Caenorhabditis elegans: one gene and its partner. The protein of the gene in region 1 purifies or fractionates together with the protein of each later gene. This does not show direct contact. Each region holds a gene or a part of one and is shown on either strand. Other genes may lie near its edges.

The links. Proteins that work in one complex are often made in the same cells at the same time.
Region 2: the proteins of pqm-1 (region 1) and ceh-60 purify together in Caenorhabditis elegans (affinity purification with western blotting; one study listed by BioGRID). This does not show direct contact.

What each region holds. Positions count from the first base shown.
Region 1 is NC_003280.10:11,149,629-11,154,666, reverse strand, and holds pqm-1 (Zinc finger transcription factor pqm-1), read left to right. Parts: upstream 1-2,071; 5' UTR 2,072-2,102; coding exon 2,103-2,217; intron 2,218-2,364; coding exon 2,365-2,685; intron 2,686-2,732; coding exon 2,733-2,865; intron 2,866-3,007; coding exon 3,008-3,111; intron 3,112-3,441; coding exon 3,442-3,523; intron 3,524-3,975; coding exon 3,976-4,108; 3' UTR 4,109-4,276; downstream 4,277-5,038. Other genes in the region: arrd-6 (Arrestin C-terminal-like domain-containing protein), read right to left, coding at 4,540-4,713. UniProt on the Caenorhabditis elegans protein: Zinc finger transcription factor which acts as both a transcriptional activator and repressor. Binds to the promoters of genes that contain the 5'-CTTATCA-3' DNA consensus sequence in their regulatory region.
Region 2 is NC_003284.9:6,526,927-6,531,789, forward strand, and holds the start of ceh-60 (Homeobox protein ceh-60), read right to left. Parts: upstream 3,221-4,863; 5' UTR 3,160-3,220; coding exon 3,092-3,159; intron 2,480-3,091; coding exon 2,409-2,479; intron 2,210-2,408; coding exon 2,142-2,209; intron 1,628-2,141; coding exon 1,484-1,627; intron 1,346-1,483; coding exon 1,271-1,345; intron 729-1,270; coding exon 613-728; intron 132-612; coding exon 1-131. UniProt on the Caenorhabditis elegans protein: Probable transcription regulator which binds to DNA, repressing genes involved in longevity and stress, while activating genes involved in reproduction, such as the vitellogenins.

The sequences.
Region 1 (5,038 bases):
GAATACTACTAGATTACTGCAGAGGTAGGGGTACTGTAGAAGTTCTGTTAAAACCTGGAATCTAATAACAATGAACGAAGTCAACTTAAGGCTGCCGCATTACAAATTTCAGTTGTTGAATAATTTTTTTCAGGGCTATAACTAGGTATATTTTCAGGATAATTTCCTAGATGGCTCCGCTTATTCAACTCGTCGATTTTCCTGATGGATTTGGGAACGAAAATTTATCGTTTACAATTTGGCAACTGTCGACAGGAAATGAATTATTCTTTATCTATTTCCATGGTTTAAAATTCGACATCACATAAAAATATAGAATAACGTAATAGGTTTTAGTGAACGTTTTCTTTTCCAACTAAAGATAACGGCCTGAACCCTCACCATTTCCGGTTTTTGAGCATTTTTTGTATTATAGTTGTTTTTTGCTATTGAACCACACCCTTTAATGGAAGCTACCATAACCTTCCTAAAAAACAAAATAACAAAACTTCGAAAAACATCGAAAATTCCCGCATACCAACTCTTTCCGGACGGACGCTACAGTGTCCACGAAGCGTCCCGCCCCTTTTTTAATGTGGGCTCACTTCTCTGCCTCGAGGAAAGAAACCTGATAAGAGTATGACAACCTATAAGAGTTGATAAGTATCACTCTTTCGGTGATTTTTCCTCTTTCTTTACAATTTCATCACTTTCACTGTTTTTAAGAGAATTTTAAAATAAGTGTCTTGTGATTCAATATTTGACATTTTTAAGAAAGCTTCCGGTCAAATATTTCGGTGCTTGAACAAGCGGTTGTCAGGGAAAATGCTCTGAAATTTTTGAATAATGATTCACTGTTTGATAGGTTCTTGTTCTGTTTTTAATATAGATATAAAATAATGCTAGTTTTAAATTGATAGGAGAGATTGATTGTAGTATTGCACTCCACAGTTCAACTTTGGCAGCTTATATCTCAATTGCCGTCAGTTCTATATAAAAATTGTCAACTGTCAAAATATTTGTTAATTCCTTTTTCCTTTTTACTGTTTTGTAGTTGGTTATTTATTGATATCTTTCAGATGAACTGAGATAATATAACATTTCAAAGTTGAGTAGTCGGGTGCAATATTAATGCACGAAATATGATAAGTCCAATTTATCAAATACCGTGTTTCTTTTTTTTAGAATGCTTTGGTTTTTTATCTATTTTTTTCAAAGTGTAAGATGCTCCTTCTTCTACAAGTCGAAGTTAAATTTTTTTGATATCTGTAAAATAAACCAAAATTTAACCTATCAAAGTGGAGTAGCTTCTACAAGTCTCTAGTCAGCTGGTTTCAGAGATACACCCACTCTCGGTGATAACGCGCGTTTCCACCAATTTCGTATACAAACCAAAAGTTTTCGAAGAAAGTGAAACGTTGTCAACTGATAACGATTCGAGCAGCGCTTTCCACGACTGACGAAATTCGCCGCCCAACTTTTCGTCATCTTTATTAGTTGCTTTTGGGCAATTGTTTCAGTTTTATTAGTTCTTGGGTTTGTGAGTATTTATATTTGAGTTAAACTTCCCTGCCCGGCCTTGGCGCTTGTCTAAAAACTACCTTGCCTTTTTTTACAGTTTCACGTATTCGCAACAATGTAGAGTACCCACGTTTCAGAATTTTTGCAGTATGCTTTTAAGGTTTAATAAAATCCCTAATCAGTAAAGTATTCTCAAATTGTTTTTGAACTTTGGGCATCTATATACCTCGCGGTCATTATTATTAGACGAAATCATTAAAAATAACTTTCAAACCCACTTCCCATCCTAATTAGATCAAATGGTTCAACTTCTATCCTAGTAGAATTTCCCAATTTCCATTCCCAAATCCCCGAAAAAAAATTCAATCTCTACTCTCATCAGCTTCTGCATTTAGAGTGCTGTGTTCTTGTTCTAATGCGGATATCTACACTTTTCCAGCTAATTCTCGTAAACCCTCGTTTCGCAAACTGATAGTGCTCTCCAATTGCTCTCCCAAAATGTCCCAAAAAAAAAGTTTCTTGTAACTTCTTCCGTCTCTCATTATTTTCGGAAAACAACCCTCAATTTTGCAGGCATAGCTCTCAGCAAGTCTCATTTCCGAATGTCGTTTTTGAATAATGATTTCGGCAGTCCGCCGGCAACCAGTTCACCGCCGACTACTATGCCTAAATTACCGACGATTCAAGATATGCTTAACAATATTGGTGCATCCACAGGTACTGTAGATTACTGTAGAGGATTTTAAATGTGCATAGTTTGGTAAATAACCAAAAAACATAGCTACTCCGTAATTACTCAGTCAGAATAAACGAAAAACCGAAACATCACAATTTTATTCTAATAATTCATTCATCATTTTTCAGTAAACCTAATGCAGCCGAACCCCTACCTGATGCAAAACCAGATTCCTCTGCCAGTCCCCAACCTACCCTTGAACCCATTCCTCCATCTGAACCCTGCAATCAGTCAAGAAATAATTCAACAATTCATCGCGATGAGCTTTAACACACCAAATGTATTAGCTAGTATCGCCAACATGGGAGATGATGAAGGACCTTCCTGCAATCCAAAAATGCGACGAGGTGATCTGCTGAAGAGTGTTTCAATGGATAGTACAGAGGATCCACCATCCATAACACTTGATAACAATGGAGACATGATTGTTCCAAATAATGATAAAGAAGGTTGGTATATGAAAGGTCTTGACCCTTTGACCCTTATCTTTTTTCAGGTTGGTGTCGCAACAAGAAGTATATCGAACAGACGGAGAACGGTTACATGTGTACTGTTTGTCGAAAGGTTTATGGTAGATACAACTCGGTGTCTTACCACGTTACCATCTACCATAGGAATCCTCCAATCAAGTAAGTGAGGGAAGGAAAGTTATGCCTCCCATTTAAAGGTGCAGAGCAACAAGCAGCCGACATTGATCGGCGCTTTTCTACTGTCGGCTGCAAGCTTACTGTAAAGTTACAACAGATAATATTAAAGGATCTATCATTTCAGATGCAACGTTCCCAACTGTCAGTTCACAACTCGCGAGGCTCGATACATTCATTTCCACAAGAACTATCGGCACGGAATTCCACTTCCAGAGAGTATCGACCAAGGTATGACGAAGTACATCAAATCTCTTGGATTATAAAGATGAATTCTTGGAAAAATTTAAGAAAATTTGGAAAAATCTGCTTAGCAGTTTTACATAGTAGAAGATCTTCTTATTGAACTTTCAAGAGATTCCAGTAATTTAGAAAACTTCAAAGTACAGTAGTACGTCACCAGTCTCTGCTCTTTTCCTCGAAAAAAACCGAATTCCATTCCATTTTCGTGCAAACCATTCGCTGATAACTCTCGCAAGGAAAACGCTCACTTTCGATTCGATTCTCCCGTTTTTCTGGGAATAATTTGATAAATATTTGATAAAAATCAATCGGTTACAGGTTCTCGAAAATGTCCGCACTGTCGTCACGTGTCAAAGAGTCCGGCGATGCTCGAGAAACATATCAGGAGGCATCAAATCAAGTGAGTTTTTGGACGGGTACACTGGGTCATGGGGTGTCTTATCACTGATAAGGAGAGGGGTGCCGTTCTTTAATACATTCGTGTTAATGTTTCTGGAAATGAATATGAGGGACTGGAACTATTAGATCTAGGGAATGTTGAATTGCAAAATTTTGGGTTTGAAAAATCTAATTGCCTGCCTACTTGCGAAGCATGCCTGAATGCCTACCTACATGGCTACCCACGAGGTATGGTTGTCTGCCAAACGTGCCTGAGTGACTATAAGGCGTACCTGAATGCTTACCTACAAGGCAGACCTAACTTACCAGTAATACTACCTAGGTCTACCTTCCCGTCGCTTGAGGCGAGGCAATCGTAGGTCGCTTAGTAGGCACGAAAGCTGGATTTTCTGAGCACACAATGGAGAACCAATACCTTTAAGAAACATTTTCTAAATTATTTATTTCTTACAGAGATGGCTTATCAAATATCAATGAAGCAATTCGTGAAAGAACCTCTACAATTTGTGATGAAGCCATGGAAATCGAGCCGGCTGAAACCGAAGTTGACCCGATAGAAACCAAGCCACGATCCTGTACTTTGTAATTTAAATTTCCCACCAAAAAATGTTTGATTGTACATATCACATCGCTATATGTATATACTAGTGTGAAGGCATTTTCTCTTTAAAAAATTTACTTTTGGTATTTCATTGTTGAACTTGATTGCTTGTTGTCCACGTCATTTCTGCTGTCTCCAAATATTTTCACCCTTATTTGTCGTTTCGATTAATTTTTTATCAGTTAAGTGGAGGAAGAAGTTGAAAAAAAGAGAATAAGGAATAATAATAATACACAAAAAAGTAGATGTTTTCTCGATGTTTCGAAATTTTTTCTGGTCAATAACTTTCGAAACAGAAAGTTCCGGTAAAACTTGAAAATCTTCAAGAAAACATAATATCACAACAAAAGTATCAATCATTGGGATCATATGGGGTTTGAAAAGATTTCCAAAAAAAGTGGAAACGATTTCTAAAATTATGCTACAAGAGGATCACCCTCAGAATTACAACCATTTGTCATCATCAGCTTCTCGTCCATTGACTCATCTCTCATTGCCAAACATGGATTCGATGCGACCAGAATACTTCGACGTCGGGATCCGTTTGGTTCGGTTACCAGCGCCAAGCTGGAGTCGGCGATTCGTGTGAACTGAAATAAGTCGGTTAGGTGTGTGGCAGTGTTAGATATATATTTTTTGGAATTCGGAATAAGCAGCTGTTTTGAGATAAAATTGACTGGAAATCTTCAAAAATAAGCAAAGTTGGGAGCTGTGATAGATAGTTAAACTAAAAATAAAGTAAAAAATAAAGAAAAATTCCGAGGTTCTGTAGTCACAAAAGGACATTTTTCGGTGACTTGAGTTGTCATGTACGTTTTAAAACAAAACATGAGGCATGAATTTTTGATACGAACAAAGTTATAAAGCTGGAAACTTTTAATTAAACATTTCAAAAAAAAGTTGGGGTGCCACCGT
Region 2 (4,863 bases), on another chromosome or scaffold:
AAATTTTGATATTACACTGTTTTGCTAATTCCGCCTTTTCCTGGTCGGACGGGTAAGGATTTTGACGATGATCGTGGAACCAGTTTTGCAAAATGTCCGTCGTGTTTTTGTCAAAGTTCCGGCGCTTGCGTCTGAAACAAAATCGGTTTCAGCAACAATTTGTATGATCCATGCGTTAAAGTTAGTTTCAAACGAAATCCGACAAAATGTGATCTGCGTTGTTTTGAATATGAATCCAAATCATGTGAAGAATTAAGTTTGTCTCAGTTTTCAAATTGTTTATTATTGTTACGAATTTCAGATGTTTAGTTCCTAAGCCGATGAACTTTTTCATTTCAGTGTTCATCTGTCTGGAATATCAACGAAGTTTATTAAAAAGCAACATGATTTGAGAACGTATTCCACATCATTTTTTTTTTGAATTTATGATTTTGTATGTTGAGTGTCTTGCAAAACCTAGACCTCACAAGGGACGGAACAAGTAGTCTCACGGAAGTTATTCTAATTTCGGATTAATGTCAACTAGCGTAATGTCTACTTGCAAATTAAAATGTTAGGTAATGAGATATGATAGTAATATATGTAATAATGGTGGAATATCCAAAAACTCACCCCTGCTGCTCGATCTCCCTCCGGAGAACTAGAATTTTAGTTGCTGCCTCCCCGCGAATGTTATTTTTCGAATGCTCGAACCTTTTGGAAATGCTTTGCCGAATGTTAGAGAAATCCTGAAACATTTTCAATAATCTTCGTGAATTTGGACCTAATGAAAACACATTGACTTTGTTAGCATTTAAAAAAGTTCATATTTTGTGTATTATATGTGACATTTGTACGGGTTTCTACATATTTATCATGGTTTGTGTTTGTTTTTTACGGGAAATTGTGAATATTGAATTTTGCACGTAAAATTATAATCCTAACTTAAAAAAAAACAAATTTATAATGAAAAAAATTTGATCTGATCTTGCGTTAAATCTCAACAAGTGATGATCTCGATCGTTTCAAAAATTGAAGAAAAACCAAAATGGATTAGTTTTCTTTTTTTTGGATTACAGTAGGATTCAGAAAAACTGACTTTTGTTCAGAAAAAGTCATTCAAAAGTGTAAAATTCACAAACAACAAATTAATAAGCTGGTTGTTTTCTATTCTTCTATTCGTTCGCCTGACTTTTCAACTTCAGTTTTGTGTTTTGTTATTTTTTTTTTGCTCTCTAATCTCAAATAATAATCTCGATATCTCTTCTACAAATTAATATAATTATTTTACCTTTTCGTCGATCGGTCTAAAATCGCGATGATTTCTGAGTACTTCTTCGCTATTAGTCAGGGCTTTTTCCATATCCTGAAATATTCTGAATTAAATTTGAAAAGTATTTACAAATCAAAAATCGGATTTAAAGCTTCTCACAAGCTTGAGTAAATGTCAAATTTTGTTACGCCTACCGCATCAGTTTGTTTTTTTGAAAATATGAAATATCACCTTGTCCAGTTGAATTTGTTTCATGATAGTGTCTTCTTTTATACGGTTAATTCCGTCCAAATATTTCCTTTCTAAGGGTTGCCATTCCTCGTCTTTCTCAGTGTTGACCTCTTCCAACGGAAATGTAGGATTTTCGAATTGAGCCTACAATTTTTGTTGCTTGTCTAATTTTTCAGTTCTAATGATTTGTTTTAAAAGAGTACAGCCAATGGGGTAATAATTTTAAACCAGTTTGTGGCGCTGAAATGACCGAATATCATACTAAATCTTCTCAAAAAAATTCTGATAATTTTTTATGTCGGGTCAAAAAGTGAGATTGCACCACTTATCGAGAAATTTGAAATAGTGTCGTTTTTTCAAACCCAAACAGTGTTGGAATATAAAAATTGCAAACACAATAGTTCATAGACCGTAGAACTGAAAGAAACTGGTGTTTAAATGAATGACAACTTCCAAAAAATTTGTGAAAACAGCGATTTCACGATTTTTTGACTTGAATTAAAAATTTGCCAAAATCGTTTGAATCTTTTACTATACTATATGGTTATTTTAGCTCCGTAGTATTAGTGTAAATCCTTTCAACATAGAATAAGCTTCATCTTTCAATTGAAAAATGTCACAAACTATTTCATGTAACTTTAAAAACTTATTCACTCACGAGAATTTCCTCAATTTCGGAGGATTGTTCATCTGTATCATACAACGCAACCAAGTTCATCCGAGAGCCTGAAATGTAAATGTGTTAATTTCTGATCCATTTCATACTTCCGTTTTTTTATTATTTTTGAAACTTCAATTTGTTTAAACTAGAGAGTCTTTTCGCTATATCATAGTCATAAACTTTTGATTCTGTAAAAGACCACCGGATGTGACCTTCACCTTTTCTAAATCTGCATAACTTTTTGATTTTTCATTCTTTGCTTACGTAAAATGTCTTTTCTTTCAAGTAGCACTTCGTGAAGCATCCGGCGACAGGGATTCATTTCGATGCATTTTCTGCAATTTTTTAATATAAGTTTTTACTATTTCAGCGGTAACAAAAAATAATGATCATCACTTCACTAATAGTTCTCTAGGGGTGTAAACTTAATCAGCATCTACTGTTATGATTCATATGTCACATCATTTGTAAGATGACTCGAACTGAAAACTGTCTCACCTATTCCCTGATGTTTTTCTAAAATTTTCTAGGAAGATGACCTGTTTAGATTCACCTCCCGACCCAGTTTATAAGAAATATAAAAATCGGTATCTGAATCAGGTTCTCTCATTTCTATAAATTTTCTTCAATCACAAACTACACTTCTTACGATGCCTAGACGAATCTCTGATCTGGATGTTTTGCAGATCATATGTATTAGTCATTTATATCACTTATGAAAACATTCAAACTATAGAATATCAAACAATCAAGATTTGCCTAAACCCAACTAAATTTTTCTTCTTTTTTGCTTTTTTTCTTAGAAGTTTATTCCTATCTAATACCGTTTAGATGTACATTTTTGAAAAATAGGTCATGCCAACATCTATTAAACAGTGTTCTTTTCATAGAGGTCAATTTATTTTTAAATCCTGTTTTGCTGCTCAAAAGTTTTTTTTTTAACTCACTCAATAAAATTCCTGTCGACGTTTTCACTTGAGACGCTCATTTGGAGCTGCTTAATAAGATTATCCATCTCTCAAAGATCGGTGTGATGCACTCGGTTGTGAACGCAACAACACAGAGCTGTGATGTGTCTAAATACAATTTTGAAAAATCACGAAAAAAAAAAACTAAAATAGGTGGTACGAATTCTGTCTAGGTTTTTTCTTTTCTATTCATCGGTGTAATTTGATAAAAACTGAGTTTAATTTCATCATTTTTTATAGATCATTACTAAGATATGAATTTGAAAAAAAAATCCTGTCAAGTTTACTTGTTAATATGCATAGAAATGTTTTATTTATTATTTTATGTTTTACTAAATGTTACAAAAAAATTTTATACATAAAATTAAAAAATCCAAAAATGTGTTCAATAAATGAAAATAACTGTACAGTAAGACTACCACTAGTAGCTCGTAGATTTGGGTTATTGATATTGTTAGAGCAAACATTATTATTGGATTACTGTCATTTGGGCCGCCTTTTCTGTCGCTCAAATTCATAAGGATAAATGTTGACTTATTACGTGACACCTCTTCCTTTTCCCTTTCTACACAAAAAGAAACCGAACCCAAATTTGTGTCATAGCAAACACTTCACTAATCTCATTAGATGATTTTAATTGTCATATATTACGAAATCAGGAAAAATTGGAAAATTTCAAAGAGAAAACGATATGGAAAGCGACGGAAAAAATAATTGAACAACCACGTTCAACTGATAAAAGAACGGTTCTAGTGGTTTTTTCTTCCATGCTCAAGTGCACCATGTACACTGATAACACCATTCCCCAAATGTTGCGATTTCTTTTCAATTACATGCCAATCACCGAAACTCAATTTAAGTATTGCATTTGGATAGTTTTTTTGTTGCATATCTACCTGATGTTTCAAAACTTGTGTATAAAAACTAGATAATACAATGAAAGTACAACAGCACACAAGGTACCCATGGGAATCCGAAATCGTAGTAGAACTTTGATTGTGTAGTAAAATGCCAAACCATTACACTTGTTCTTTCTCTTGGCTTATTACTCAACGGTAAATATCATCAAGGATTATGTTTTCACAACTGAAAAACATGCGAGCACATTTTTTATATTTTGTAATATATCATACACTTGCTCATGTTTTTATGACTATCAGTTAAATGGATCAGCTAGCTGAAGTGAGGATAATACCATTAGTTTTGCAAGGCCACTATTTGATCGTCTTGAACTTTACAGTAGTTAGTTATGACTCCATCAGATGCTTCACATAAAACAAACAATTATTTCTTCAATTTTACATTTGTGTTCAAAATATTCTTATTTTAACACTGTAAGTAGTTAAACAATAATTAACCCTTTTTTATCTCAAAAAAATTCAAAAGTATTTTGAGAAGTTTTATCAAGACATTTAGTCTTTTCAGCACTATAAAAATGGTTATTAATCTTTTTTTGCATGTTGTCAACTTTTAAAAGTCATACAACTTAAAACGGAACAACACTCGTTGTTATAAATTACTATGTCGCTAAAACAGAAATTTCCACTAATTACAGATGTTGTTGAGCTAGTATTCAGTTCAAATTGTTTTTATGAATTACTAATTATTGTTGTTATAATTCAGTTTAAAATAAAGGGAAAAATAAAAACGTTTGAACAATCAAAAAATAAATCAAGTGATTGCTCGAGAGAAATACACGCGAGAACTCGTTTTTTTTAGAATTTCAGAAGCTGAGAATTTTTGTTTGCAAA